4 linked regions of the Elephas maximus indicus genome follow. The protein of the gene in region 1 purifies or fractionates together with the protein of each later gene. This does not show direct contact. Links are inferred from orthologs where the notes say so. Each region holds a gene or a part of one and is shown in the gene's direction. Other genes may lie near its edges.

Region 1 (7,307 bases):
AAGACTACATTTCTAGTAGCAGCTTCACTTTATGTAACAAGTGGGTGAGCAAAACTAATGATGTCTTGGTTCTTGCAGCTTGCTGAGTTTCGAGAAACCATTACAAAGATGTTGGGATTTCACATGAAAACAGCAGATGAAGAAGTCATCAATCAGCTCAGGTTTATTCTACAAGCTTATGAAGCATCTAACAAAAAATCAAGGACTGCTTCTGATGATGAGGCTGAACCGGAGAATGACTAAAGAAGTTCTGCCTCTTCCTTGCTGCCAACAAGAACTCACCCGATATGGATGTTTCCTTCAGCATCTTGAATGCAGCTACATTATGAATAAAATGCACTGGAAAATTTTCACTTGAATCTGTTCTCCTGTTTGCGTTTAGCTTTTGTCATAATTTTGTTCTATGTATTATGATCTACTTTAATTTATTTGTAACATATAATTATCTAATTATATTTGTTAACTGTATTTTAAGTAGGATATTAAGCAGAACTTGTGCTTAAGTTGGAATATTTACATCCATAGTTAAGCCTGTTTTCAGAATGAATAATTTATTGGGTTTGAAATCCCTCTTGGGAGCCAGGTAAAGTTATGATCTATGGCTTCTGAAATTATTTGATTACCTGAGAGTGTGAAAATCAGATCTGAAATGTTGAGGGGCAGGAAAGTCATTGAGAATTCTTATAAATCTGCAGTACACTGTAGTGTGATTTTTATTTTCTTAGTGTTTAATAGTCTCTGCCAGTGCTTTCCTAATGGTGGCCAGATCTCTAAGTTAATGGGCTACTTTTTTTTTTTTATTGTGCTGTAAGTGAAAGTTTACAAATCTAATCAGTCTCTCATATAAAAATTGGGCTAATTTTTAAATAGTATAATTTTTAATTCATTTCATTTGAAATAGGAAACTGCTTATCTCCCAGGATAGTGTTAGATTCACCTAAGATGTCCTCTGCGGGAAAAGGTCAGAATCTGCACAGGGCTATGGGCACTAAGTGCCAGCTGTGGGCGTTTAAAAGGATCTCCTACTGCGCTTAGTTTTAGAGGGATTCTTAGGGTGGAAGAGGTCAGGTTACATTGGATCTTCTGTACCTTGGGAAGAAAATGATTGAATACTCATTCAAGGAAAAAATGAGTCACTCATCTTTTAAATGGTCACAGCTGTGGTTCCCAAATTGTGTGACAAGGCACCCTGGTGTGCTGCAGCAATCTCATAGGAATGTCATGGAATATTTCAAATTTTAGAGGAAAATACAGTGACACTTGGTGCGTGTCAGGAAACCACATGAACTACTAGCTCCAGGTAGTTTATTGTTTCAACATTAGACTACTCTTCATTCCTTTCAATGATGTATCTTTGTGATGGGAATGGCCCATGGCCTCAGGACTTGTCAATCTGTCCCCTAGGGAGGCACAGCAGTTGATGCATTACTACCAAAGACAAAAACCTTCAAATGTGGGGAATGAAAGACTTTCCCCAGACTTCAGGATCCCTGGCTGCAAGTGAGAGAAGCCTGCATGTATTTCCTTTCAAGACTGTCCTTAGCCTTGCGAAAGAGGAAGGTGGGCACACGCTGCCCAGAGCCCTAATGTAGCCCAACCTGCCTAAGCTGTAAGAACTAGAGTGAAAAACCTGTGAGAGGAGGAGCTTGACGGGACCTCCTTGTTTTTCTGGGTTTTGCAAGTTTTCCATTTTGACAGGGTGCAGTCTTACCACTTTTCTATTGCTATTAGTTGGAAAATACTTGCATATTCCTTTTTGATAGGTTTCTACCTCACACAGGTTCTGGCTTTTGCAGGTTTTACTGTACCTTCTGCTTCAGGATTCCCCCAGGGCCACCCAGCTGCCTTCTGCAACCTTAGCACAAGGAGCTGGGAGGACTGTGCTATACCACAAGCCAGGTAGGCCACGTCGCTCCCCGGGCATCCCCTCTGAGGACTCCCGAGCACTGTGCACAAGCTCCCAGCTCCCAAAGTCAAGCTCTCCAGGAAGGTCAAGGTGCCAAATTGCAGCAGTCTCTGAAAGAGCTACCTTATGAGCACATTAAAAGAAAACACTCTGTAAGCACAAAGGGACCTTAGTCTTACTATTCCTTTGAATTGTTAGTAGGTACTTCAACCGCAGGACAATGTAAAGGTTCGTTAACTGCGGAGGCAGAGAAAGACCCTTCAATGATCTGGACCAGCACTCTCCAGAAAATGCTTTCTGTACTTTTAGACAGATCACTGACACACTGTTCTTCAACGATGAGAACTGGATTTAGATTTAAGACTTTAGGTAAGTGGTTTTCAGCCTCGAGATGCATTAGAATTACCTAATGAACTTAAAAAAAAAAAAGTTTTTTTTCCAGGCCTACTGAGATTCCAGTTCACTTTGATGTGGTGTAGGGCTGAAGTATGTTTTTTTTTTTCCAATGCTCCCTAAGTTAAAAAATGTAAATTGTAAAAATTATAAATTGATAAAAGTACTTTGGAAAATATTTTGGCAGCATATTAGTTTCCTATTGCTGCTGTAACAAAGCCCTGGTGGCATAGTGGTTAAGCGCTAAGGCTGCTAACCAAAAGTTCGGCAGTTCAAATCCACCTGCTGCTCCTTGGAAACTCTATGGGGCAGTTCTACTCTGTCCAATAGGGTCTGCTATGAGTTGAAATTGACTCCACATCAACAGGTGTATGTTGTTGTTATATATATATATATATATATATATATATATACACTTAGAACTCTGGTGGCACAACGGTTAAGAGATCTGCTGCTAACTGAAAGGTTGGAGGTTCGGATCCACCAGCTGCTCCAGTTGCTCCGTGAGAGGAAAAAACCTGGTGAATTCCCTAAAGATTATGGCCTAGGAGACACTATAGAGCAGCTCTACTCTGTCCTCTAGGGTCGCTATGAGTCAGAATCAACTCAACGGCACACAACATACATACCTGATGGAAATGTGTACAGTCTACAAAAAGACATTTGCAAGATTATTCATGGCAGCACTATTCATAATTGCCCCAAACTGGAAAATACCCAAATGACCAACAGTAGAATAAATTTTGACAACCAGCCACTAGTTAAGCATTCAGATCTCCCACTCACTGGCATGCTGAATTTTCTCAGGGGCCAAACTAGACCTTGGTTCTAACCAGCCTTGCGACCCTCAGTCAAGCTCTGGCCCTCTCTGATCTCAAACACAGAGAGGAAGGGTGGCCTGGATTTCTGAGTTTTGACTGTTCCAGGCATGCCCAACTATCCTGGAAGACACATTTTTGGGTCAGATAAAGGAGTTTATTGCCCCAGAAGGACAGAAGCCAGCGGGCACAGCCACCAGGCGGCTCACCTGCAAACGCTAATTCTGCCTGGGGCCCCTTTCCTCGGCTGCAAGGTGTGACAGGCTGAGATCTACCTTCGTCTCCACCCTCCAATTCACCTTTCCCCTGAAGATACCCCCTTCCGGACAGAGGGACCATTAGGGTCTGCACATGCCGCTCAGACCACTCGCCTGTGGCTCAACGCACCCTAGCAACAAGTGCAGCAGCTTACGCAGAGATTATCTTCCCTTTGAAGATTCCCAAAGTGGTCTCATCTAGGGTGGTATGATTCCCTCAGCAGACAGCAGGACATGCGAAGCCACATGCTTAGCCAGCGGCCAGGGAGTCCGCGCTACTGCGCCAGCATCCCGCAAAGTGGCTGCGCTTGCGCAGCACTGCGGAGAGGCCGACTAGAGGCCACTTAACCAAAAAAAGAAAAAAAGAAAACCCAAACTCGTTGCTTTGGAGGCGACTCCGACCCACAGCGACCCTAGAGGACAGGATAGAACTGCCCTGTAGGGTTTCCAAGGACCGGCAGGTGAATTTGAACTGCTTACCTTTACCTCTTGGTTAGCAGTCCTATCACTTAACCATTGCGCCACCAGGCCTCCAGGGGCCACTTAAAAAAAAAAATTTTTTTTTTTTTTTTTTTTAACTGAGAGACAATTCTGGACCGTGCTAGGGGTGGGAGACAGTGAAGGAATCATTCGCTGATTACTGGCTGGAGGAAATGATTGGCTGATGGAAAGAACGTTCCAGATGAGTCTTTGGATGCGGCGGGGGACATCTGAAGGAGTAGGAGGAAACTCCTGGTGCGATTCTAGCCAATCAGGGACCAGAGGCGGGGCGATGTCGCGGGAGAACGATATCGCCCGCGCGGGAGGCCCTTCCCTAGCCCTCCGGGCCGGTAGGTGGCGCGTTGCTAGGAGACTGAGGGACCTGGGCTGCCCCGGCAGAGTCTAGGCGGAGCTACCCGGCGCGGAACTTGCTGGGAGCGCTGAAGTGCCTGCAGATGTGGTGCGGCTGCCGACTTTGTACACACCGGCGCTGTGAAGCTGGTGTCAGGGTCCTCACCCCGATTCTGTTGGGAGGGTGTGGGATGGCGCCCATAACAGTGTTCGTAAAATCTCGGTGAATCTGAGTCTCAGCCAGAGTTGAAGCCTGCTGCCTTAGGCCCTGCTGAGCTGGGAGGGATGTCAGAGTAGGAGCGCCGCGCTGGTCCCTCTGTGTCTGCGATAACGCTGGGGGGATTGCTAGTGCTCCGAGAGGGTCGTCAGCTTTGCAAATCTAGGTTTTGTCAGATTCCCCCACATCGGATTCGAGGTTGGAGAACGGATCGCGGCCTTACGTAAAACCCCTTGCCGTGTAGTCGATTCCAACTCGTAGCGACCATATAGGACAGGGAAGTACTGCCTCCTAGGGTTTCCAAGGCTGTAATCTTTATGGAAGCCGACTGTCAGAGGAGGGAGTGGTCGTGGGTTCTACCACAGACCATTGGGTTAGCAGCCAGTGCTTAACCACCGTGCCACCAGGGAACCCTCCTTGCCTTACATAAACTATATGCCCATTCACCAAGATTTGGAGACACTCCGTGCTTTGTGTGTTGGCTGACAAGGGCGAGCCTATCCATAGGCAGCCACTCTGGAGAAGAAATTAGATCGGGCGTTTGCTTGGGAGCATGACTGGAGAACCAAGGTGATGTCAGACTAGAAGACGTTAATCTGTGATATCCAGATTTTCACAATTGTCAAGATTTTGCTGAACAAAACCAGAAAAATACCCGGAGACCTTAGTCTGTTCTTGGACTGCGGTTAATGTCTCCTTCTCTTGTTGTCAGGTGAGTTGTTGAATCATTTGACATGATAGTGGTTGTGCAGTAGCATTTAAGACTCAGGACTAGATACAGCCACTAATACAAATAGGCAGTTACAGGCACACTTCATTTTATTGTGTTTCGCAGATGTTGTGTTTTTTATAAATTGATGGTTGTGACAATCCTGCGTCGAGCAAATCTATGAGTGCAATTTTTCCAACAGCATGTGCTGACTTCATGTCTCTGTGTCACACTTTGGTAATTCTTGCAATATTTCAAACCTTTTCATTATTGTATTATCTATTATGGTGATCTGTAATCAGTGATCTTTGACGATACAAACGTGATTGTTTTGGGGCACCATGAACTGCTCCCATTTAAGACAGCAAACTTAATCGATACATGTTGTGTTTTTTTTGACTGCTTTTCTGACCAGCCGTTCCCCAGTCTCTCTCCCTCTGCTCAGGCCTCCCTATTATCTGAGACACGACAATATTGAAATTAGGCCAATTATATGTCCTCTTAAGTGTTCAAGTGAAAGGAAGAGTCACACATCTCCCACTTTAACTCGAAAGCTAGAAATGATTAAGCTTAGTGAGGAAGGTATGTTGAAAGCCAAGATAGGCTGAAAGCTAGGCCTCTTGTACCAAACAGTTAGCCAAGTTGTGAATGCAAAGGAAAAGCTCTTGAAGGAAATTAAAAGTGCTACTCCAGTAAACAAGTGAATGACAAGAAAGCCAAACAGCCTCATTGCTGACATGGAGAAAGTTTTAGTGGTCTGGATGGAAGATCAAACCAGTTACAACATTCCCTGGGGCAAATACTGGACAGGATCAGTCTGAGGTGCCCTTGCAGGCACAGAACAACGCATTCATGCACAGACAGCCTCACCTTGTCCTCCTGGCAACATATTACAGAGATGGCGCTGACGGGTTGCGGGGGGCTGGGAGGAGCTAAGTCACCATTTTCCCTTTGCTGCCGCCATCTCGTGAATCCTGAATCCCAGTGCGACTTTCTGTACCCAATGACAACAACATCATCGTAGAAGTTGTCCACCAACCCTGAGGGACCACATTCCTGAACACCACCTGAAGAAGAGCCCCCACTCCGTTATCCTACGCATATAAACTGCTGTCCCTGCCGATCAGGAAACAATCTTGGCGATGCAGGTCCTGATGTGCTCTTTTATTTGGCCAACCAAATAAAGCTTTCTTTCACTTTCAACTGACTCATGTCTCAGTGTTGCCCCGAGTGAGACCTGGAGGACTGATAACATCCCCATCATCCTGAAGCAGCTGGATTGATAGAACAATGGAACGGCCTTCTAAAGACACAATTATGGTGCCAGCTAGGTGGCAGTTCCTTGCAGGTTTGGGACAGTGTATTGCAGGAGGCTGTATGTGTTCTAAATCAGCGTCCAGTATATGGTGCGGTTTCTCCCATAGCCAGAATTCATGGGTCTAGGAATCAAGAGGTAGAAATGGGAGTGGCACCACTCACTATTAACCCTAGTGACCCACTTGCAAAATTTTTGCTTCTTGTCCCTGTGACCTTATGCTCTGTGGCTCTAGAGGTCTTAGTTCTTTGGAAGGGAGGAATACTTCCAACTGGAGACACATCACTGGTTCCATTGAACTGGAAGCTAAGAATGCCACCTGGCCTCTTTGGGCTCCTTATGCCTCTGGATCAACAGGCAAAGAAGGGAGTTACCATACTGGCTGGTGTGATTGATCCTGATTACCAATAGGAAATCGGATTGATATTACATAATGGAGGTAAAGAAGAGTATGTCTGGAATGCAGGAGCTCTCTTAGGGTGTCTCTTAGTACTACAATGCCCTGTGATTAAAATCAATGGAAAAACACTGCAGCCCAATTTCAACATGACTACTACTGCCCCAGATCCTTCAGGAATAAAGGCTTGGGTCACCCCACCAGGAAAAGAACCACAACCAGCTGAGGTGCTTGGTGATGGCAAAGGGAATACACAATGGGTGGTGGAAGAAGATAGTTCTAAATACCAGTTATGACCGTGTGACCAGTTGCAGAAATGAGGACTGTAGTTGTTATGAGCATTTTTGCTTTGTATGTGTGCAGCAAATATTTTTGTTTTCTTTTTCACTTATAAAATAAGATGTAAACAGGGCTAGCGCATTTTTGGTTGCATGTGTATTTGTTGTATCATGTTAGGTACAAGT
Region 2 (7,027 bases), on another chromosome or scaffold:
AATGGTTCAGGTGAAGCTCTGGCTCTTCTTGTACTCCCTGTCTTTCCTATTTTTCCTCATTCATTGTACTGTCTCTTTTCAATACAATTTGACAAACTCTTTTTGATTGCACGTTGTATGTACAACTGCATAAGACACAGCTACCTTACATGACCCCCAATCTCATTTATACTGTGATGAAAGAGAGACAGTAATGAAGGCAGAGCATGTTCAGAGCTATGGTTAACAACAATATGTCATGAGAACACAAAGATAACGAGATTTTATTTGAAACTAAATGATAGAGCAGCCTATATCTAGCTTGGAGAGGAGAGGGGAGATTCTGGAGTTCTCCAGAGGTTTTACAGTAGAAGGTTTTAGAAGCATCCCTTGCCACTGAACAATACTCCCACCCAGTCCCAATCAACACCCTTTAATCATTGTCCCTTCTTCTCTCAGAGTCTCTGAGAATGTAGTTTACTGTCAAATGACTGGTTTCTTTAACCCCCTGCCCTAGGGTCTACTAAGTGAGCTTTCTTTGTTAAGGTTTTCCACTGACAATGATTTCAAGAGTGAAGGGGAGTATTCAAAGGTCTATGCCTTGAGGAAACAGAAAAAAATGTACCCTCAGCTTGCCTTTTCTCCAATCGGTAAAAGAGATATGAGGAAAGACGGTAAGCTCCTTTCTTTCAAAGCAATGGTTTATTGGACTGAGATATCGGCTGGAGGTAGAACCTCTGGGGACTGGAGATATGGGCAAATCAGTATTTCTCATGGTGGTCCTAAAGAATATTTTTCCTTGTAGCATAGAAGCTAGGAACTGATCAAGGTGCTAGGTTTTGGTCCCTGCTTATAGCCTTACATGTCAAGAAAGCTCTAGAACAGTATTCCCAAATACCACCACCTACCACTTTAATAGTTTTTGCCATGTCAGTTTAGTATTTTTCTCTTAAAAGATTTTTTTCACTCTTGTCTTAATCAATACTATATCTTTGACATCATGGGTTTGATATACTAATTATATATTTTTCTGATACACATTAAATCAAACTCATAACAATTAAATTTTAAAATGTGTATTTAGGTAGCAGCTAAAACCATCCACGGTATGCATAACACACTTTGGGGAAAACTGGTCTAGAAGGGCCAAAGGATAAGCAAATCTCAGAAGTCCTCAAGTCTCTTTGGGGTTGGGGTAGGGCATTGGACAGAAGGGGCTTGGGATAAGGCTGCATCGAAGAGGGTGCAATGAGAATGCTCTTCATATTTGTGGGGTGCCTACTTAACGTTGAACACTTACCAAGCACCGATAATAGCACTTTAAATACGTGAGACAGATGAACCCGACCATGAAGTCCTTTTATAGTAAATAAATAAGAACTTGGGTTTTATCCAGTAGGCTATTGGGACCTATATTAGGTCACTGAACACACATTTGTATATTATAAATATAATTAATGAGTTCCCAGACTTCACCAGCTGATGGCTTCAAGATAAAGTCCATTCCTCCTACTAGGTTTCTCTCCTCAAGCGATTTTTGAGGCTTCCTAAGAGCTCAGCTGCTAACCAAAAGGTTGGGAATTCGACTCCACCAGCCACTCATTGGAAACCATATGAGGCGGTTCTAATCTGTCCTATAGGGTCACTATGAGTCAGAATTGACTTGACAGCCATGGTTTTGGTTTTTGGTTTTATTAAGGTCTATTTAGGAGGCCTGATAGTGCAGTGATTAAGTGTTTGGCTGCTAACCAGAAAGGTTGGCAGTTCAAGTCCACCAGCAACAGATTTTTTTTTTTTTTTAAGGTAAGTTTACTGTTTTACAGTTATCCTAGTGATTGATTACCTAACACCTTTGCCAACCATCTTCAGGGCAACAGTCCCAGAGGTCCCAGGTTACACCATACCATCCCTTAACTGGTTTCTTCAGGCCTCTCTGCTCCTAGTTACCAACCCACCCCACCTTACCCACTGCCTGTCTTAACTCCCATATATACAGCTAAAGCAAAGCTGTAGTGGTAAACAAAACTTCATGGGTGTGGAGGAAAGCTAAAGGACAGCAGAGAGAGTTATATTGCTTTAAAAGAGGCTACTTACTCTCAGCTTAGCCTCAAACCCAGCCTCAGTTCCTCTAAGCTTCCCAGTGGGCCTCTAGTACGTTACTTGTTCTTGGGAATCTCCTGGCCTATCTACCTGTTTCTGCCAAGGCTCCTAATACCCTTGGCCCAAGAAAAGGAAGAGGTTCTCCTTCCTTCCCCCAAACCTGTTTCGTTTCAGTCCCAGTAAAAATGACAATGAGACCATCTATTTCCTGCAAGGGAAATTCTTCCTGGGAAGTATGGTTTGAACTTTATAAGCCAGATAAGGCAAACGTAATAGTTGAGAATCCATTTAGTAAAGTTAGAGTTAAATCTTAAATGATACCATATGTAAGGATATCAACAGTGCAGCTTAAATTCATATTTAAAGGCAGAATTTCTCTAATTTTGCAAGGGCATGGTCCTTGTTCAGGATACACCCAATTTACATTTCTAAACAGAATGCTTAATATCTTGATCTGCAGCATCTATTAGAGTTATGACTTCATATTTTCCATCAAGACAAATGAGTGGATACTTGTTTTACTTATGTGAAGTTGAATCAGTGTCTCCACTCGTGGCAAAAGAGAAGGCTAGCAGTCTCCCTCCCCGCAGTAGTGTTCCATGTTTACCAGGCATCCAAAGAAATAAAGATCATAGAGAATGGTTTGAGGCAGGGCCAGGAAGGCGGCTGTCCAAGAAACAGCTGATGAAGACTTGAGCTAAGGAGTCAGCAGTAGAGATAAGGAACAGATTCAAGGGTCATCTACCAGGTATACCCAGAAACCACACCAGCTGTTGTTGAGTCAATTCTGACTCCACGTGTGTCCTAGTAGAACTGTGCTCCACAGGGTTTTCAATGGCTGATTTTTTGGAAGTAGATCGCCAGGTCTTTCTTCCAAGACACTTCTGCATAGACTGGAACCTGCAACCTTTGGGTTGGCAGTTGAGCGCTAAAGCGCTTGCACCACCCAGGGAGGTTTTACAAGGTATAATGCATCAAAAAAGTGGGGAGGGATTGAAGGAAGAAGATCCCACAATGGAAGCTTGAAAGAACAGAACAGAGATTGAAGGAGAATCTGGATAAAATGTTTTAACTGAAGCCAAAAGTAGAAAAAGTTTCTTACTTACACTGTCTGACAAAGAACCGACAACAAACGGGTTAGAAAAAGACTGAGAAACATGAATATACACGTGCGTGCAAGTTAGCCTAAAGAGTTATGTAAGAGTGTGGTTGAAGATGGAAAAACTCAGAAGAGGTGGATTAAATGAGGGGACTGTAAACCAGCGGTGTGTTTTAAACTGGTTTTTGAAGAAGCGACGAAAACGTTTGACAACGAAGGCTGGAAGGGTAGTCCGCGGTCCACAATCTACCCTCTTGGTTAAAGTAAAGACCAGCTTTCTGGTCGGTCACGCTTTGCATTAAGCGCCCTTGTAGAATCCACATTCACCTCAAGGTGCCCTGTGCTTTGTTGCAGCTTCCAAGAAGTCAGCGAGTGCAGTGCCGACTTCCCAGGCGATCTGGGAACCACTCACCCTGTCATCGCTCCTGGAAGAGAAGCCCACCAGAACTGTGCCGGGGGAGAGCGCGTTCCGCAACGGAAGAGCCCAGCAGTGGATCATAAATAACGCCACTCTCATTAAGTGAACACAAACCCTCCAGGCCCCCCTCCCGCCTCGGTCTCCAGACAGGGGTCTGCAGACGTCGCCATCTGCGGCGTGCCATCCAAATAAAATCACATTCCTGCTTGCTCCAGGCGTGGGCTGCCGGGTCGCTGGCCAAGTGGGCAGGAGAGCCCCTCGCTCCGACCTGTCACCGCCCAGGCCCCGCCCCGCCCATGGCCCCGCCCACGCCCGGCTGAGGGCGAAGAGAGGGCGTGGCTGCGGCCCTCCCCGGGCGAGAGCGACGGCCCGCGGCCGGGGGCGGGCCTTCTCCCGGAGTGACGGGCCGGCCGCCCAACCGGCGGGAGCGCTCGGGGCCTGCCTTCCTGCAGCCTCTTCCGCTTGCCGGCTGCTGCGTCTGGGATGGTTGCGGTGGGTCTGGGCGCTGGGAAGTGGGCCAAGATGTTTAAAAAATTCGACAAGAAGGACGAGGAGTCTGGTACGCGCTGGGCCGCTCACGCACACCCTTGGCTGTGGGGACCCCTTTTTGCGCCGCCCTCATGTGCTCCGGGCACGGCGGCCCCGGGGGCGTGGGCACCGGGGGCGTGGGCACCGGTGTGCGCGCGACCCCTCCCCTCGCTCCCGCCGGGGAGCGAGCTTCCCCTGGCCCCTCCCCCAGCGGCCCCGCCTGCGCCCCTTCCTGGCGGCCCCGCCCGCGCCCCGCCCCTGCGCCCCGCCCCCCAGCGGCCCCCCGCCCCCCAGCGGCCCCCCCGCCCCCCAGCGGCCCCCCTCTCCGGCTTAGCCCCTCCGAGCCCCTCCTGGTGGGGCCGTCAGGAGTGGAGGCGGGCTCACGACAGGTGGAAGGAGTGCGTGCGCATGTATGAGAGGCGGGGGTGCTGGGGGTGCTGGGCCCCTAGTGGGAGCACCCTCTTTTGGGCCTGGGGTCGACGGGAACAGCATGTGTGTCCGTGTCCAAAGTTGAGGTGCCTTCTACCTTACAGTCTTTCTTGGGACCTGCCTGCCCCATGGAACATAAGTCAGTGCTCTAGCATGCAGAAGTGACTTTCGTCTTGTTGCCCATCTTTAATCCAGTGGAAAGGGCGAAGAGGCCAAGCCACCTCCACATTCTCAGCTGCCCTCACAAAGCATGGGAGAGGGTGGGGTCCGTTCACCTCCATGGGCCCTTCCCGCTTTTAAGTTGCTATGGTTCTGTGCTGAATTCTTCGTTTCTGCCTCTCAGTACGTGTTATAAGCAAATAAAAAATAGTGCTCGCCTTTAGAGAAATTAGAGTGCCCCACCATCATCTCATTCATTTTAATTGCAGTGGAAATGGCAGATAGTCATAATATTCTTGTACAAAGAGGGCAAGCAAAGAAGACATTCTCATTTCAGGCAGGGTTCCAGCCAAAGAGAAGTCCGAGATCTTCCAGGATAGCAACGACAGAGATAGTGCCAGAATGAAAATACTTTCATTCCATTTACATGCATATTAGTAATGATTATCACTGTGATATCCAAGTGGTCACCTCACTTTAGTGAGATTTCCCAAGCATTCAGTGCCCTTCTGGTGGAAGTAAATACGCTTATGCAGAACAGCTATTACAGATGTCTTTTGTTTTATCATATAGGGAGTGGCTCCAACCCTTTTCAGCATCTGGAGAAGAGTGCTGTCTTACAGGAGGTATGGCTTGCAAGTACATCGTGCTCCTTTCTTTTCTATTTTGTTTTAGAATGGCGGGCAGAGAACCCCTGGGATGCTACAATTGGGGCATCCAAAATGAGACATGAATGTAACTGAGTTCAGAGAATGTAGACTTGAGAGGAAAGGAAGAGGGGTTACTTGCCATGGGAGAGTTTAGAGCTTTTAGAAATGTAAAGACACACAGACTCTGCTACATGCTGGGAATTTTAAATGTCAGAAGACGTGTTTGGTGTGAGGTTATTGAAGGAAGTTATAGATATTAAGCTCCCTGTGTTTATATGATGCAGTAAATATTGTGATTTGTGGTAAATATTGTGATTCTTATTTACCAGATAAAGTTCAGAAAGTTGAAGTATTAGATTTAATGGAATGGGTTGCAAAGTACAGAATGGAAGATCAAGGCTACGTCTAATAATTTCTTGTATTCTATGATACATTGAAGACTAATGTTTTTGGATATTGTGATTAAAAGTTGGTTTGCTGTCATCTGTGATAGAAAATGTAGAAAATATACTATATTTTTTTTTTTTTTATAGGCTCGTATATTCAATGAAACTCCCATCAATCCAAGAAGATGTTTGCATATTCTTACCAAGATTCTTTACTTACTGAACCAGGTAAATTATTTTTAGTTTTTCTCAGGTTTGTGTCCTGGAGTAGAAATACATAGCATGGAGTGAAGTACTTTCTGGAAAGTACTTATCTATTTCTCTAAAATATTTAACATAATAACATGTAAAACTTCTTGAGGACAGGAATTATAACATATAGTTATTTTGTGTTCATGAGATACTAAACCAGCTGACCACATGGTAGATTCTCAATAAATACCTATTGATTTGAGTTTAACAACAACAGCAACAGCAAAAAACCAAACCCGTTCCTGTCGAGTCAATTCTGACTCATAGCAACCCTATAGGACAGAGTAGAACTACCTCATGGGGTTTTTAAGGTTGTAATCTTTACAGAAGCAGACTATCACATCTTTCTCCCATGGAGTGGCTTGTGGATTCAACCTGCCAGCCTTTCAGCTAGCAGCTAAATGCTTAACCAGTATGCCACTTTGAGTTTAACAGGTACTAGTTAATGTTAGTATAAATGTTTACATTCGTTCAGAGATCTTTATATCTCTCCAAAAATACAATGCAAAATCTCAGGCAAATTCCAGGTAGATATTTTACCTTTCTTGGGGAAGGCGGGCAAACCCTGGAGGCACAGTGGTTAAGAGCTATGGCTGCTAACCAAGAGGTCGGCCATTCGAAGCCACCAGGCACTCCTTGGAAACCCTATGGGGCAGTTCTATTGTGTCCTACAGGGTCGCTGTGAGTCAGAATCGACACTATGGCAATGGGTTTTGGGAAGGTGGACGGGTAGGATAGATCATCAAAACAAAACAAAACAAACCCATTGACATCGATGACAATGGGTTTGATTTATTTACTTATTTTTTGTATGTATATACACCCCCCCCCCCCGTTTCCATTTGGTGCTGAGTAAGAAGACTGGTTTCCAATTTGAATTCCATGTGAATATTTTATCATTACTCTGTTTCTTGACTGAGAACCTTATCCATAGATTTAATAGTTTTTGTTGTTTGCAAATGGAGGTTGAGCAGTAAGCACACACTTTTTAAATAAAATGTATCTGTTCACTAACATTTTAGTCTGT
Region 3 (7,979 bases), on another chromosome or scaffold:
ATACAGCCACAGTAGTCAAAACAGCCTGGTATTGGTACAACAACAGACACATAGACCAATGGAACAGAATTGAGAACCCAGACACAGATCCATCCACGTATGAGCAGCTGATATTGGACAAAGGACCAGTGTCAATTAACTGGGGAAAAGATAGCCTTTTTAACAAATGGTGCTGGCATAACTGGATATCCATTTGCAAAAAAATGAAACAGGACCCATACCTCACACCATGCACAAAAACTAACTCCAAGTGGATCAAAGACCTAAACATAAAGACTAAAACGATAAAGATCATGGAAGAAAAAATTGGGACAACCCTAGGAGCCCTAATACAAGGTATAAACAGAATACAAAACATTACCAAAAATGATGAAGAGAAACCCGATAACTGGGAGCTCCTAAAAATCAAACACCTATGCTCATCTAAAGACTTCTCCAAAAGAGTAAAAAGACCACCTACAGACTGGGAAAGAATTTTCAGCTATGACATCTCCGACCAGCGCCTGATCTCTAAAATCTACATGATTCTGTCAAAACTCAACCACAAAAAGACAAACAACCCAATCAAGAAGTGGGCAGAGGATATGAACACACATTTCACTAAAGAAGATATTCAGGCAGCCAACAGATACATGAGAAAATGCGCTCGATCATTAGCCATTAGAGAAATGCAAATTAAAACTACGATGAGATTCCATCTCACACCAGCAAGGCTGGCATTAATCCAAAAAACACAAAATAATAAATGTTGGAGAGGCTGCGGAGAGATTGGAACTCTCATACACTGCTGGTGGGAATGTCAAATGGTACAACCACTTTGGAAATCTATCTGGCGTTATCTTAAACAGTTAGAAATAGAACTACCATACAACCCAGAAATCCCACTCCTAGGAATATACCCTAGAGATACAAGAGCCTTCATACAAACAGATATATGCACACCCATGTTTATTGCAGCTCTGTTTACAATAGCAAAAAGTTGGAAGCAACCAAGGTGTCCATCAACGGATGAATGGGTAAATAAATTGTGGTATATTCACACAATGGAATACTACGCATCGATAAAGAACAGTGACGAATCTCTGAAACATTTCATAACTTGGAGGAACCTGGAAGGCATTATGCTGAGCGAAATGAGTCAGAGGCAAAAGGACAAGTATTGTGTAAGACCACTATTATAAGACCTTGAGTAACAGTAAACCTGAGAAGAACACATACTTTTGTGGTTACGAGGGGGGGAGGGAGGGAGGGTGGGAGAGGGTTTTTTATTGATTAATCAGTAGACAAGAACTGCTTTAGGTGAAGCGAAAGACAACACTCAATACATGGAAGGTCAGCTCAATTGGACTGGACCAAAAGCAAAGAAGTTTCCGGGATAAAATGAATGCTTCAGAGGTCAGCGGAGCAAGCGCGGGGGTCTGGGGAACATGGTTTGCGGGGACTTCTAAGTCAATTGGCAAAATAATTCTATTATGAAATCATTCTGCATCCCACTTTGAAATGTGGCGTCTGGGGTCTTAAATGCTAACAAGCGGCCATCTGAGATGCAGCAATTGGTCTCAACCCACCTGGGGCAAAGGAAAAGGAAGAACACCAAGGCCACACGACAACTAAGAGCCCAAGAGACAGAAAGGGCCACATGAACCAGAGACCTACATCATCCTGAGACCAGAAGAACTAGTTGGTGCCCGGCCACAATCGATGACTGCCCTGACAGGGAGCACAGCAGAGGACCCCTGAGGGAGCAGGAGATCAGTGGGATACAGACCCCAAATTCTCATAAAAAGACCAAACTTAATGGTCTGACTGAGACTGGAAGAATCCCGGCGGCCATGCTCCCCAGACCTTCAGTTGACACAGGACAGGAACCATCCCCGAAGACAACTCATCAGAAATGAAAGGGACTGGTCAGCGGGTGGGAGAGAGACGCTGATGAAGAGTGAGCTAATTATATCAGGTGGACACTTGAGATTGTGTTGGCAACTCTTGTCTGGAGGGGGATGGGAGGATAGAGAGGGAAGCCGGCAAAATTGTCAAGAAAGGAGAGACTGAAAGGGCTGACTCAAGAGGGGGAGAGCAAGTGGGAGTAGGGAGTGAGATGTATGTAAACTTATATGTGACAGACTGATTGGATTTGTAAACGTTCACTTGAAGCTTAATAAAAGTTATTAAAAAAAAAAAATAATAAATAAATAATACACGCGAGGAGTGTGCTTCTGAGTTCAATCAGATATATGAGACCAAATGGGCGGCTTCTGTCTGGAAGCAGGATAAGAAGGCAGGAAGGGACAGGAACTGGTCGAATGAACAAGGGAACCCAGAGCAGAAAGGGAGAGTGTGCTGATTGCAACTAATGTCACAAAACAATATGTGTATAAATTTTTCTGTGAGACAGCTGTAAACTTTCACCTAAAGCACACAAAAAGAAAAAAAAAAGATTTTTACTGTTGAATTTTATGATGGCAAATCAAAGTCACGGAAACAAAATTTAATGGGAGCCCTGGTGGTGCAGTGGTTAGGCGCTCAGCTGCTAACCGAAAGGTAGGTGATTCAAACCCACCAGCTCCTCAGCAGGAGAAAGATGTGGCAATCTGCTTCTGTAAAGATTACAGCCTTGGAAACCCCATGGCGCAATCTACGCTGTCCTATAGGGTCGCTACGAGTCGAGTGGGAATCAACTCCAAGCCATGGTAGTGGTAGTATCTTCATAGTTGTATCTTTAATTGTCAAGTTTGTAAACAGGGCCAGATTTTATTCAACTTCTCACAGGTAACTAAAATTAGGTAGGCTCACAAACAAGATCTGCACTCCGGACTCACCAACCAGAGGACCTCTGGGTTTTCTCTCCCTGCCCTGTGGCACCTCTGGTGGCATCTACCACTGCCCGTGGAGTGAGGACCTCAGTGAAGCCTCAAAGACCTACCTGGAAATGGAGAATGCAGGACAAATAAGCTGACATCCACATGAACTGAGAACCCGGTGCCGGAGGACCCAGCATCCCTGTCGTCCTTTGCCCTGTCCCTATCCCTTCGGTCTCTTGCTTTGATGGTTTAAATGACAGTGCCTGGAAGGACATGTCTGCAACTTAATGATTGTTCTGTGTAGTTGTTGTCGTTGTTAGGTGCTGTCAAGTCAGAATGAAACACCCCCTGGTCCTGTGCCAACCTCATAATCCTTATGCTTGAGCCCATTGTTGCAGCCACTGTATCAATCCATCTTGTTGATGGTCTTCCTCTTTTTTGCTGGCCCCCCTACCAAGCATGGGTGCCCTTCTCCAGGGACTGATCCCTCCTGATAATGTGTCCAAAGTATGTGAGAAACAGTCTCACCATCCTTGCTTCTAAGAAGCATCTGGTTGTACCTCTTCCAAGACAGATTTATTTGTTCTTTTGGCAGTCCCTGGAATACTCAACATTCTTCGCCAACACCACAATTCAAAGGCGTCAACTCTTCTTTGGTCTTCCTTATTCATTGTCCAGCTTTCACATGCATATGAGATGATTGAAAACACCAAGGCTTGGGTCAGGCACACCTTAGTCTTCAAGGTGGCATCTTTGCTCTTCAACGCTTTAAAGGAGTCTTGTGCAGCACACTTGCCCAGTGCCATGTGTCTTTTGATTTCTCGACTGCTGCTTCCAAGGATGTCGATTGTGGATCCAAGTAAAATGAAATCCTTGACAACTTCAATCTTTTCTCCGTTTACCCTGATGTTGCTTTTGGTCTAGTTGTGAGAATTCTTGTTTTCTTTATGTTGAGGTGTAATTCATACTGAAGACTGTCTTCTGTAGGTAGAGATTAAACTGGATTTAAACTACAGTAGAAAGAAGACGATGATGAAACCAGCCTCCGCATAACACATCACCTCATGGTAGGGGATGGGGACCAAAAAAAAGAAAAAACAAAAACCCAAACCCCTTGCCATCGAGTCGATTCTGACCCATGGAGAAAAGTTAATTCTCAATGTTTCTTATTAGCAGCCTTCTCATATAGCCTGTTGAAGTTGTAATGGTGACCGCCAGTGGAACATCACAGGCTCCTCCCTTCTGAGCTCCCTTCCACTGAGGGGGCTCCTGGGTTATGTAACAAAAGCCTGTAACTGTCCTGTTAAGGAGCTGGAGTGTGGTGGTCCCCAGCGTCCCCTAGTGAACACTCCCCTTCCTCCCTTGGTGAGTTCTTATAAAGAACCAAGTGTATTTTCCACAACAAAAATCACCTTCCCTCCGGGTCTTCCCTGAGCGCCCAGCTCCCTCCCTCCCAACACCTCCCGTCTGTCCCTTCCTCTCCCTTTTCTCCTTAGCCCTCCCTACCATCAAAACCCATTGCCATCGGGTTGATTGCGACTCTTATCGACCCTATAGGACTGAGTAGAACTGCCCTAGAGTTTCCAACGAGCGACTGGTGGTTTCGAACTGCAGACCTTTTGGTCAGCAGCCGAGCTCTTAACCGCTGCACCACCAGGGCTCCGCCTCCCACCATCGGGCACTTCATGTGTTTCAGTCGATGCCACTAAAACATAAGCTTGAAAAGGACGCAGATTTCTGTGTTTTTTCCCTGCTGCAGCCCGTGGGCTTGGAACTGGGGCTGGCACACGCTTGGCGGTCAATTCTTTTTTGAATAAACGCGGTTTTGTCCGCTTCCATTTGGGATCTCAGGCCCCGAAGAGCTTAACTTACTGCCCATTTATTCGTTCATTCAGTCCTACTAACTGTGCGCCTATGGACGGGGCCCTGTGCTCGGAGCTGGGAAAAGTGCGCGAAGGTACGTGCAGAGCCGAGGGACACGGGGCACAAAGGTCGGGACTCGGGGGGCACCAACACCACCCCCTCCTCGGGGCAGAGGCTGCATGGGCGTCGCGACAGCCTCGAAGAGCGCCCGCCCACAGCCCACAATGCTTTGCGCCCTCCCGCCCTCTTTCCCCTCTTCCGGGCGGGGCCAGGCCTGGCTAATCGAGCGCCGCGGATGGCGTCTCGGCGGTCGGCTGGCGGCGCCTGCCCACGCGGCGGTTTCCGGTTGCGGCCCGGCGGAGGTGAGGGTCGCCGCGGGGTCGGTGTGTGCGGCGGGGACAGGCCGGGGCCCCGCACCCAGGTCTCGGCCTCTGCCCTCTGGCCGTCGGGGAGGACGAGGTGCCCTGGCCTCCGCTCCTCAGCACCCCTGTCTGCCCGAGCAGGAGCCCGAGCGAGCGCCGCCCGCCCTGCTGCCCGGCCCCGGCCCCGGCCCCGGCCCCCCGAGCCTCCAGCCATGGCGTCTCTGCTCGCCAAAGACGCCTACCTGCAGAACCTGGCCAGGAAAATCTGCGCCCAGCCCAGCGCGGAGCCGCAGAAGCGCAAGCGGGGTGAGGCGCGGTCCCGGGCGCGTGCCTTGGCGACATTGGGGTTGGGGGGCTTCGCAAGGGGAGCTTCCGGAGCCGCGCGCTCGCGGCCGAGGTCGCCGTTTAGCACACCCAGGTGGCTTTCACGTGGTTAGACAGACGAACGCGTGCGACAAATCAGCGAAACACCGGCAGGAAATGTAAGCGGTGTTCACGGCTCTGCCGTTCCCCTTGCTTGTTAGGGGCGCCTGCCCGAAACGAGGGGCTCAGCTCCGCTCGCCCATCGCGCGGGAAGCGTTGCCGGGGTTCGCAGAGGTGACCCCTGTAGAATGGCTTCTCTGTGGTTGGCTCCGTGAACCAGTTTAGCCAGCTTTCCGTTTTGGGTGGGAAGACAGTTACGAGTGATGATGAACCAATTAAAAAAAAAACAAAACACCTCACACTGGTGCTGTGTGGGGAGAAGAAAGAAAACGGGGTTCCTGCCAGGGTCGGCTTACAGGCCAGGGGGTATAGGGTTACTCCGGAAAAAGCTAAAGGGGCCGGGCTTTAAAGACCTGGGGTCCCAGAGAATCGTTTTTTTTTGTTGTTGTTTGCTTGTTTTTTTCAACTTTACTTTCATGTTTGTGCAAGGAGTATGATTCATTACAAAGAATTAGAAAACAGTAGTCTGTTTTTTATGTTTCAGTTATAATTTCGATCTGTGTTTTTCTAGAGTTTTTTCTTAGTGTAAGTTTCTGTTATTAACAGTTTGGTCCTACTCTGTGTATTCATCTTTTTCTGTTTAAAATGTAAACATCTTTCCAGACAAGAAGTGAAAGACTACTCCATTGTTTTTGATGGTTCTGGAAACTCTGGTGGCATAGTGGTTAAGAGCTACGGCTGCTAACCAAAAGGTCGGCAGTTCGAATCCACCAGGAGCTCCTTGGAAACTCTACGGGGCAGTTCTACTCTGTTCTATAGAGTCGCTATGAGTAGGAATCAACTCGACGGCACTGGGTTTGGTTTGTTTGGTTTTGTGTAGTAGTTTGTTGTGTAGCAGTAGCGTAATTTGTCCCGGAGCTCTGGTGGTACAGTGGGTAAGAGCTATAGCTGCTGACCAAAAGGTCAGCTGTTCAAATCCACCAGCTGCTCCTTGGAAACCCTATGGGGCAGTTCTACTCTGTCCTATAGAGTGTTACGTGTCAGAATCGACTCTTTGGCAATGGGTTATTTTTTTGGTGTCGGTGAGGATTTAGGTTTTTTCAGTCTTTCATTCAAGCACTGTCACGATGAATATCCTTGAAGCCACACCTTTGCTCATGCCATGGTGAGTTCTCACAAACAGAACTGCTAGGCCAGGGGTACGCATGTCTTTAAGGTTTTTGCTGTGAGCAGCCATCCTGCCTTCTGGAAGATCCATAGTTCTGTGCTCTGTGGGTACATGTCTCTGGATTCTCTGTCCTGGTGCTCTGTGTTGGCTTTGTTCACAAGACCTTCCTGCCTCCTGAGCGGGTCACAGAGATTGGGACGGCAGCCCTCATGCATTTTGTATTTCAGCTGGTCAAACTCAAGACACAAAAGCTGCCGGGCCTTCAAAAAAGAAAAGGAAGAAAATGCAGAAGAAATTCTGGGAGCAGAAAGAGAAGGCTGTGGAGCACAAGGCCAAGTCCCTGCAGAAGTCTCCAGCAGCTTCTGGGGCCAAGAAGCCAGTGGCAACAGAAGAGGAGGAGGCCTCCAGCTCCACCGTGGCCCCTGCAGGTGAGAGGCTCCGGGACCCCAGGTCCAGCATGTGCAAACATGGTCCCTTCTGAGGAGCAACATCACTGCCCTCAAGTCTTGGAAGGGGTGTCGTGAGAGCAGACTGTGGGCTCTGATGCAGGGATTGGGTTTGGCGTCCACCAGAGGAAGCACTTTGTCATACCACAGTGACCGGCCCTGGAGAATGCCACAGGGGTCATAGAATTGACTGGAACTGCTCCTGCAGATCTGTGAGTGGTCACTAGGGGGTGTGTGACTAGAAACTCAGGGAAGGATTGGGGAGCTAGTCTTTTTTCAGCCCTCGCATCTGCTCCCTTAGCAGAACGCTGGACCACAGACCCTGACTCTTTCTTTGCCCTCGATGTGCTTCGGCAGCGGCTGCATGAGAAGATACAGGAGGCCCGGGGCCAGGTAGGTGAGGGGAGACTCCCCTGGGGCGCCCCTACCCTGCCTGGAGGAGGAGACACCTCCCTGCCTTCTGTGGGCCTGACCAGCATGGCAGGAAGGCTGTGGGCTGGCAGGAGGGGCCTCGGCCACTGCTTTCCTCCTGCAGTGGCTCCTGCCAGGGGTCTCGGGTCTGTTTTGGGAGAGGTCAGAGGTAGTTCTTATCCTCTTGGGAAACTTCAGTCCCCAAAGTCGCCTTCTGCTGGACGTTCTGATGCCACTGCCCCTCTCCTCCATGGCCTTAGTGAGAAGCCTGCCCCCTTCTTCCTGGGAAGCTGCCTTTGCTGGATGCTCTCACTAGGCTGGGCACCCTCACTGGGCTGGGCACTTGTTGGTCTGTCACCAACGTGTCACAGTGGGCCTGAGATAGGTGGCCACCCGAGGTGACACGAGGACTGAGCCAGCCACAGCTCTCTTGCAGGCGGTGCTGCCTCGCTGTGTGGGGGACAGTCCCCCAGCTTCTCTCCTCGCCCTCCTGGGATCAGCCTGC
Region 4 (7,253 bases), about 42 Mb from region 1:
GGGGATATCTTTGTTAATTATGTCTTCTAAATGGTTATTCCTAGTAGATAAGAAGAGTACAGATTTATTTTATATTTGTCTTGTATCTAGTGACTTCTCTGAATTTGTTATGAATTTTCATCATTTAAAAATTGATTCTCATGGATTTTCTAGGTATACAATCATATCATCTGCAAACAATGATAAATTTGCCTCTTCCTTTCCAAAAGTTATGACTCCTTTTTTCAAGTCTTACTATATTGGATTTTTCAGAACAATATTAAATAACTCAGTGATGAAACCAGATATTCTTGTTTTATTTCATCTTTATATAAGTTGTTGACTTTATATATCATATATATACACATATTTATATACGAAGAATATTAAGACTATTAAAAACATTTATAGAAAATGAAAATTGACTTACCATGTTCTCTTTGGTAATTATTGAAAAAAATCAAATGTTTTTCTTGGTTTCTTATTGACCTATTATATAAATAAATTCTCTAATACCTAAACTTATGTTAATCCCTGGGATAAACTCTAACTGGTTGTGGTATATAATTATTATGTTCATACATTGTTGAATTTTATTTGTTAATCTTAAATATTTTTGGAATTTTATATTTATATTCATAAGTGAGATTGGTCTGTAGTTTTTTGTTTGCTTTATATTTTGGTGCTACTTCTGACAGGTCTTTGTATTAGGTTTATTCTGGCTTCATAAATAAATTGGGTAGTTTTCTATCTTTTTTTATTTTGCAGAACAGTTTCTACTTTCATTTTGACAGATAAATACTGTATAATAGAGATGACAAGGAAGAGAATGCAAATTGGCATAGATTATTTTGCCTCAGTAACTCTGCCACTTTTGTAGCTAGAGGACAGCCTTCGTTGTGAAGAAGCAATTTGGAGCAAGTAAGAGGGTCAAACGGGCCATCATTTCCGTTTTGAATAGTGCGGCTGGCTGGGCCAGCACAGAGGTGAGTAAGGATGGATCTGGGGAGGGAGGAAAGAGCTAAGAGAGGAGGGGAGCACAAAAGAAGATGAAAGGAGGGTTTACAATGGGTGGGAGGTGTTTAAACAAGGACAAAAACCAGGATCAAGTAGGACTGGGCCTGACAGTGGGACTGCTGGAGGGCCTGGTTGGCTCAAGTCAATTCTGACACATGGCGACTCCATGACCCCATGTGTGCAGAGTAGAACTGCTCCATAGGCTTTTCAAGGCTGTGACCTTTCAGAAGCAGATGGGCAGGACTGCCTTCTGAGGCACCGCTGGATAGGTTCCAACTGCCAATCTTTCTGTTAGCAGTCGAACATTTAACTGCGCTACCAAAGGCCTGGTGGGGAGGATTATCCGGGAATGAGTACTCCTTCCCTTCCAGAAGAGTCTCCACTTTTCAGCTGGTAGCCTGTTGGTCACTTACTCCTATTTGAGAAAGTAACAGTATTTCTCACCCAGGGTATTTTCCTTTCTGTTCTACCATCTCCCTACTTCCATCCCAGCAAAAGCCTACATCCCATAGTTTTATACACACGCTTCTGAATGCAAGAGTTCAGCACGGAGAGCGAAGCAGAGAGTGATAGATGTCACCAACTTCAACTTTTTGCCTATGGCCAAGTCCTGTAGAAGGTTCTCTATTTCTTTTTCAGTCCTTCCCTTTTTGCTCCTCTAAGTTCCTATAGATAGACCCACAGTTACATGCTGCTTTTTTATGGCACAGACCAGAGCTGTAGGATAGTGGAGAGCAATGTGGTATGGAATTATGGGGAACCGCTCAGCATCATGCTTGCCACACAGCTGAGGCCGTCCTGACTGGAAAAACAAAGACAACACAGACAAATGAAATTTCTAACAACAAACTGAACTTGAAGGTCAGTCAGAAAGTCCAGGCTTTTTTTACATGAATCATTTTGAAAATTATTTTAACTGATGGCCAAACTGACATTACTGCTTCATAGATTTTTCCTCACTCTTTCTTACCCAGAGATGGGTTAGTTAACAATCAAAAGAGCAGCCACCAGCTTGACGTCAGGAGTGGGATGCCAGGAGCACAGATGGTCCACAACTCAGATAATTAGCTTCTGAAGGAAAAACAACATCTAATAAGTCTTCTGTGAATGCAGAGTTTGGCTGGGCACAGCTGGGGCACAGAATAAGCAGGCTTCCACACCTCTTTTTCTATCCCTTAGGATGTCTGCAGAACCCTCACCCACTTCCTGTGGACAACAATCTACTGTAGATGTTCCACCCTAAAGGAGGGGAGCATAACTCCTCACTCCTTAAGTACACTGCATAGTAACTTCCTTCCACAGAAAGGAAGAAAAGGAATAGATCTACAGTGGAGAAACCTGATAAACACTGCTTCAGTCAGGTCATCAAGGTCAATATCAACGGTCATAATCATGTTGGTAGTATGTACCCTTGATACGATGTGATAAAAATGGCACTTCTGTGATCTTCCTCCCCAAAACCCATAACCTCAGTCTAATCGTGGGAAAAACATCAGACAAATTCCAATAGAGAGGCATTCTAGGATACAGCTGACCAGTCCTCCTCAAAACTATCAAAGTCACCAAAAACAAGGAAAATCTGAGAAACTGTCACAGCCAAAAGAAGCCTTAAGAGATATGATGACTAAAAGTAATATATCCTGGATGGGATCCTAGAACAAAGGACATTCTGAATAAAGTATGAACTTTAATTAATAATAATATATCAATATTGGTTCATTAATTATAACAAATGTATCATACTAATAGAAGTTAAAAGTGGTGTGTGGTGTTGGGGTGGGGAAGCAGGGCTATATGAGAATTCTGCACTATCTGTTCAATTTTTCTGCAAATCTAAAACTGTTATAAAAAATTGATTAATAATAATAAAACAAACCTGCACGTATCAAATAAAGACTTAGGATGGGACAACAGTATTTCCAAACCCTCAGACCCGGTGGGGCATTTCCTTAGATCTCTGGCTTTTGGGTTTTCCTCTTTTTAAGGCACTTACATTAAATCCAGGGTTCCTCAGAGGAGAAATTATCTTATATACACCCTTTCCATGTTCTCAGGGCTCTGTCACCCACAGGCCATGGTGATCTCATTCACTGTTATGACTTCAGTCACTACCTGTCTTCTGGTGATTTCCAAATCTTGTCCGGTTCACATCACTGTTCATCCAACTCTCTATTACACAGCGCCCTCTAGACGTTCAATTCAGCACGTCCAAACCTTAATTTCCCCTTAAATTTGCACCGCTCATTTCTTGTCTCACTGAGAGGCCAGAGCCCTGGGCATCACCCCAGACTTCCCATTCTCACAGTCCCCTGCCAGTCGGTCCCTCAGTTCTGTCAATGCTTCCTGCTTAGGGCCTCTTGTGCTGTGTTCTCTCTATCCACCTCCCCTCCCTCCACCCCAGAGGTAGGGCCTTCAATACGGTTGGGCCGCCAGCTTTCAGGTGTTCCCTTTCCTATTCCTTTCTTTGCCTGATTCCTTTCCTTCTTCTCTGTCCCTATAGCAGCTGTTGACATTGGAAAGTACATAGTTTCTTTCGATCCTCGCCAGGCAGCTCCATGGCTCCCCTCTACTGTAATCTCGCATCATGAATTCTTTTTCTCTGATCTTCAGGGGTGTGTTTATTTAGCTTTTGTGTTTGAGACAGAATCACAAGGAATTAGTGGCAGAGTGATCATTGTCTATTTAAAAATGTAACATGCAACGAACAGGGACAGATCCCAATTTAAGAGCTCCAACTATATTAATTCAGTTTTCTCAGTGTACAGGTGGACACAAGAACCACCTTTGAAGGCGTAACGGGGAAAAACTGGCGGTAGAACTTAATCAAATTACGACCTGAAATCAGGGTGTGAAAAGATAACGAGAAAACACAGAAACACGAGCCTTACACCAATTACTGCATTAGGGTGTAATAAGGGAACGCCCGTCCCACCGAGCCAGCCAGGAGTCGAACCTGGAATCTTCTGATCCGTAGTCAGACGCGTTATCCATTGCGCCACTGGCCCTGAGACAAGGTGGCCCTTCTCACTGATGACACTTCAAGCTTATACTGCAGGGTTTCACGGGACGTGTAGTCTCTTGACGAAGTCTGCAAAGGCATAAAGCATTATGGGAACTTAAAGCGCGTCACGTACCAGACCCTGCGGTTGGTAGATCTTTGGGAGCCACGCCACACGTCACAGTGAAGCCCGAGGATTGGCGGGAAGAGCCCCCACCCCTCTGTCTCCTGTACGCGAGCTGTAGAAGACGCTCTGGTTGTTAAGGCGACTCGTCCCGCCTTCTGGGGGCTTTTTATAGGGTTTTTGATTGGTTGCTAGTATTAAGGAACCCCGGCGTGGACAACGCGAGGGGAAAGATGGCGGCGATGGCGGTCGGGGGTGCCGGTGGGAGCCGCGTGTCCAGCGGAAGGGACCTGAATTGTGTCCCCGAAATAGCTGATACGTTGGGGGCTGTGGCCAAACAGGGGTGAGGACCCAGACCGAACGGAACCCGGGGTCCGAACTCGCGAACCGAGAGGGGCAGATTAGTCATCCCTGAGAGGCAGGGGTGAGGGGATCGAAAAGGGTAGGATGTAGGCGGGAGAGCTCTCGACTCCAGGAGCGAGGGAAGAGAAACTTTTGGGGTGTGCGGTCACTGAGCCAAAAGTCGGGGGAATTGTTGAATAAACCCAAAAAGAGGCAGTGAAGTCGAGGTTCTTGTCTAGGAGTGAAAGTATTAGGGAGCAAGAAAGGAAAAAAGAAAGGGGAGGCATGGGCAGTATTGGGGCAGATTTAATCCTGGAAGGCCAGTGACAGCAGAGTAGAAAGTATTCTCCTTGGAATGAATTTTCACCTCTTCTTACTCGTCTGGTCCACGGCTGTTTTTGAGTCTTTCTTTTTTTGCGTGGCATACTGGTATTGAGGCACAGTGCAGCGGAATTGATATGCTCCAACGTGGGCTGAACTCAGCAGCCCAGTGGGGTGACTGATGGCAACTGAAAGGGCTCGGTGCAAACTGAGGTAGTCTAAATCCAGTTGGCTTGGACCTCTCTGGGCATTGCTGTTCTCTTTACATGATGACTCTGGGTCTGTCGTGGTTATAGGTTTGATTTCCTCTGCATGCCTGTCTTCCACCCGCGTTTCAAGAGGGAGTTCACTCAGGAACCTGCTAAGAATCGGCCTGGTCCCCAGACACGATCTGACCTACTGCTATCAGGAAGGGGTAGGGACCATCCCGTATACCCCTTAATTATCAGAGGCAGTAACAACTTCTACTTTATCAGGGTCCTCATTCTCTTCCTTTCCTGATTTGGGAGTGTTGATTAGTTCCTGTGATACAGATAATCTTATTTTCTCCGTGCTTACTTGCTAAAAGTCTTAGTTCCCTATTCTGGATCAAACTATTCTATGTCTGTGATAGAAAAAGTCCTTGTCTCTTACTCTGTATCCTGCTAAGAAAGAAATTTAGCAAGAATAAAGTGCTGAACCTTATTCTGTCTTTGTCTTTCTTGGCTGGGACTTGCAGACTGGAATACACTAATTGTCGGAAAGCTTTCTCCATGGATTCATCCAGACTCAAAAGTGGAGAAGATCCGCAGGAACTCAGAGGCGGTAAGGGTGTTTCACCTCTCCACTGGATCTTTCTAAGGATTAGATCTGAAACTGAGCTGGGTGGGGAGAGCAGTTTTTCCTCTCATAACTTGGTGAATCAGGTGTCTGATACAACAGAGTTAAAGCTATTTGGGTTGCTAGCTCTTCACCTTTTCCTCTTGATCTCTGTGTCTAGGCTATGTTACAGGAGCTGAATTTTGGGGCATATCTGGGTCTTCCAGCTTTCCTGCTGCCCCTCAATCAGGAGGATAACACTAACCTGGCCAGAGTTTTGACCAACCACATCCACACTGGCCACCACTCTTCTATGGTACGGCTGAGGGGCTCCTTTCCTACTGTATAATACGGTAGTCTGCTGCTGTAAGTGTCTTTTTATGCCTAGCCATTCAGTGGAAGGTGCACATGGCAGAATTAAAACGTCAGTATTGCCTATCTCCGAAATAAAAGTGGTATGCAGAGAGATATAAGACGTATGCAGTATATAATACTTTATGTCTAGAAACTTAGAGTTGAGATAAAGGAAAGGCAGACATTTCCATAAGGACAAACACAGGATACATGTCCTTTTGTACATGTTGTTAGGTGCTGTCGAGTTGGTTCTGACTCATGGTGACCCTATGTATAGTGACTTTAAGTACAGTGACCTTATGTACATGTACCTAATCACAGATTGGGAAAAGCATATAAAGGTATTTACTTGAGGTCTGGATCAAGATCTTTTGACGGGGGGGAAACTTTCTGGACACAGTGAGTTCTAAATAAGGTACCTGTCATGTACAGTTCTGGATGCGGGTCCCATTGGTGGCACCAGAGGACCTGCGGGATGATATCATCGAGAATGCACCAACCACACACACAGAGGAGTATAGTGGGGAGGAGAAGACATGGATGTGGTATGTCTCCTTTTGGTGCTTCTGTAAGTTAAAGGGTAGAGTGAGGGGAAGTACAGGTGGAACCTTTAGGGAAGTCTCTCCTTTGAACTTGGTGATGGGTAGGTTCTGTGCATTTGACTGTATGTTGCTGTATTTGCCCTGAACAGGTGGCACAACTTTCGGACTTTGTGTGACTACAGCAAGAGGATTGCAGTGGGTAAGTCCATGAGGTTCCTAGGGTAGGTATCCCTTCTCTGACCCTCTATGAATAGGAATCGGGAGTTTAAAGTGTCATGTGTACTTGGCTGCTGGGCAGTTTTCCTACTTTTTTTTTTTGTAAGTTTTATTGTGCTTTAATGCTTTAAGTGATAGTTTACAAATCAAGTCAGACTTACAGAAAAATTTATAAACGCCTTGCTATATACTCCTAATTTCTCTTCCCCTAATGAGACAGCACTCTCCTTCCCTCCACTCTCTTTTCATGTCCATTTGGCCAGCTTCTGACCCCCTCTACCCTCTCATCTCCCCTTTGGACAGGAGATGCCAGCATAGTCTTATGTGTCTACTTGATCCAAGAAGCTCATTTTTCACCAGTATCATTGTCTATCCCGTAGTCTAATCTAATCCCTGTCTGAAAAGTTGGCTTTGGGTATGGTTCCTGTCTTGGGCTAACAGAAGTTCTGGGGACCATGACCTCCAGGGTCATTCTAGTCTAAGTCAGACCATTAAGTCTGGTCTTTTTATGAGAATTTGTGGTCTGCATCCCACTGCTCTCCTGCTCCCTCAGGAGTTCTCT

What was found.
Region 2: the proteins of ESR2 (region 1) and COPG2 purify together in Homo sapiens (affinity purification with mass spectrometry; 3 studies listed by BioGRID and IntAct, with this or other methods). This does not show direct contact. The link is inferred for Elephas maximus indicus from reciprocal best matches to the Homo sapiens genes ESR2 and COPG2.
Region 3: the proteins of ESR2 (region 1) and SURF6 purify together in Homo sapiens (affinity purification with mass spectrometry; 3 studies listed by BioGRID and IntAct, with this or other methods). This does not show direct contact. The link is inferred for Elephas maximus indicus from reciprocal best matches to the Homo sapiens genes ESR2 and SURF6.
Region 4: the proteins of ESR2 (region 1) and PRMT5 purify together in Homo sapiens (affinity purification with mass spectrometry; 3 studies listed by BioGRID and IntAct, with this or other methods). This does not show direct contact. The link is inferred for Elephas maximus indicus from reciprocal best matches to the Homo sapiens genes ESR2 and PRMT5.

Annotation. Positions count from the first base shown.
Region 1 is NC_064828.1:76,639,157-76,646,463, reverse strand, and holds the start of ESR2 (estrogen receptor beta), read left to right. Parts: upstream 1-4,289; 5' UTR 4,290-5,134; intron 5,135-7,307. Other genes in the region: coiled-coil domain-containing protein 170-like, read left to right, coding at 79-243.
Region 2 is NC_064826.1:19,142,162-19,149,188, forward strand, and holds the start of COPG2 (coatomer subunit gamma-2), read left to right. Parts: upstream 1-4,021; 5' UTR 4,022-4,079; coding exon 4,080-4,155; intron 4,156-5,285; coding exon 5,286-5,338; intron 5,339-5,895; coding exon 5,896-5,976; intron 5,977-7,027. Other genes in the region: TSGA13 (testis-specific gene 13 protein), read left to right, coding at 1-10, 526-653, 3,533-3,702. UniProt on the Homo sapiens protein: The coatomer is a cytosolic protein complex that binds to dilysine motifs and reversibly associates with Golgi non-clathrin-coated vesicles, which further mediate biosynthetic protein transport from the ER, via the Golgi up to the trans Golgi network.
Region 3 is NC_064827.1:5,223,383-5,231,361, forward strand, and holds the start of SURF6 (surfeit locus protein 6), read left to right. Parts: upstream 1-4,962; 5' UTR 4,963-5,026; exon of another isoform or gene 5,027-5,167; 5' UTR 5,168-5,238; coding exon 5,239-5,332; intron 5,333-6,844; coding exon 6,845-7,045; intron 7,046-7,364; coding exon 7,365-7,456; intron 7,457-7,979. UniProt on the Homo sapiens protein: Binds to both DNA and RNA in vitro, with a stronger binding capacity for RNA. May represent a nucleolar constitutive protein involved in ribosomal biosynthesis or assembly.
Region 4 is NC_064828.1:34,276,176-34,283,428, reverse strand, and holds the start of PRMT5 (protein arginine N-methyltransferase 5), read left to right. Parts: upstream 1-4,234; 5' UTR 4,235-4,351; coding exon 4,352-4,461; intron 4,462-5,077; coding exon 5,078-5,196; intron 5,197-5,499; coding exon 5,500-5,585; intron 5,586-5,760; coding exon 5,761-5,895; intron 5,896-6,365; coding exon 6,366-6,478; intron 6,479-6,624; coding exon 6,625-6,674; intron 6,675-7,253. UniProt on the Homo sapiens protein: Arginine methyltransferase that can both catalyze the formation of omega-N monomethylarginine (MMA) and symmetrical dimethylarginine (sDMA), with a preference for the formation of MMA.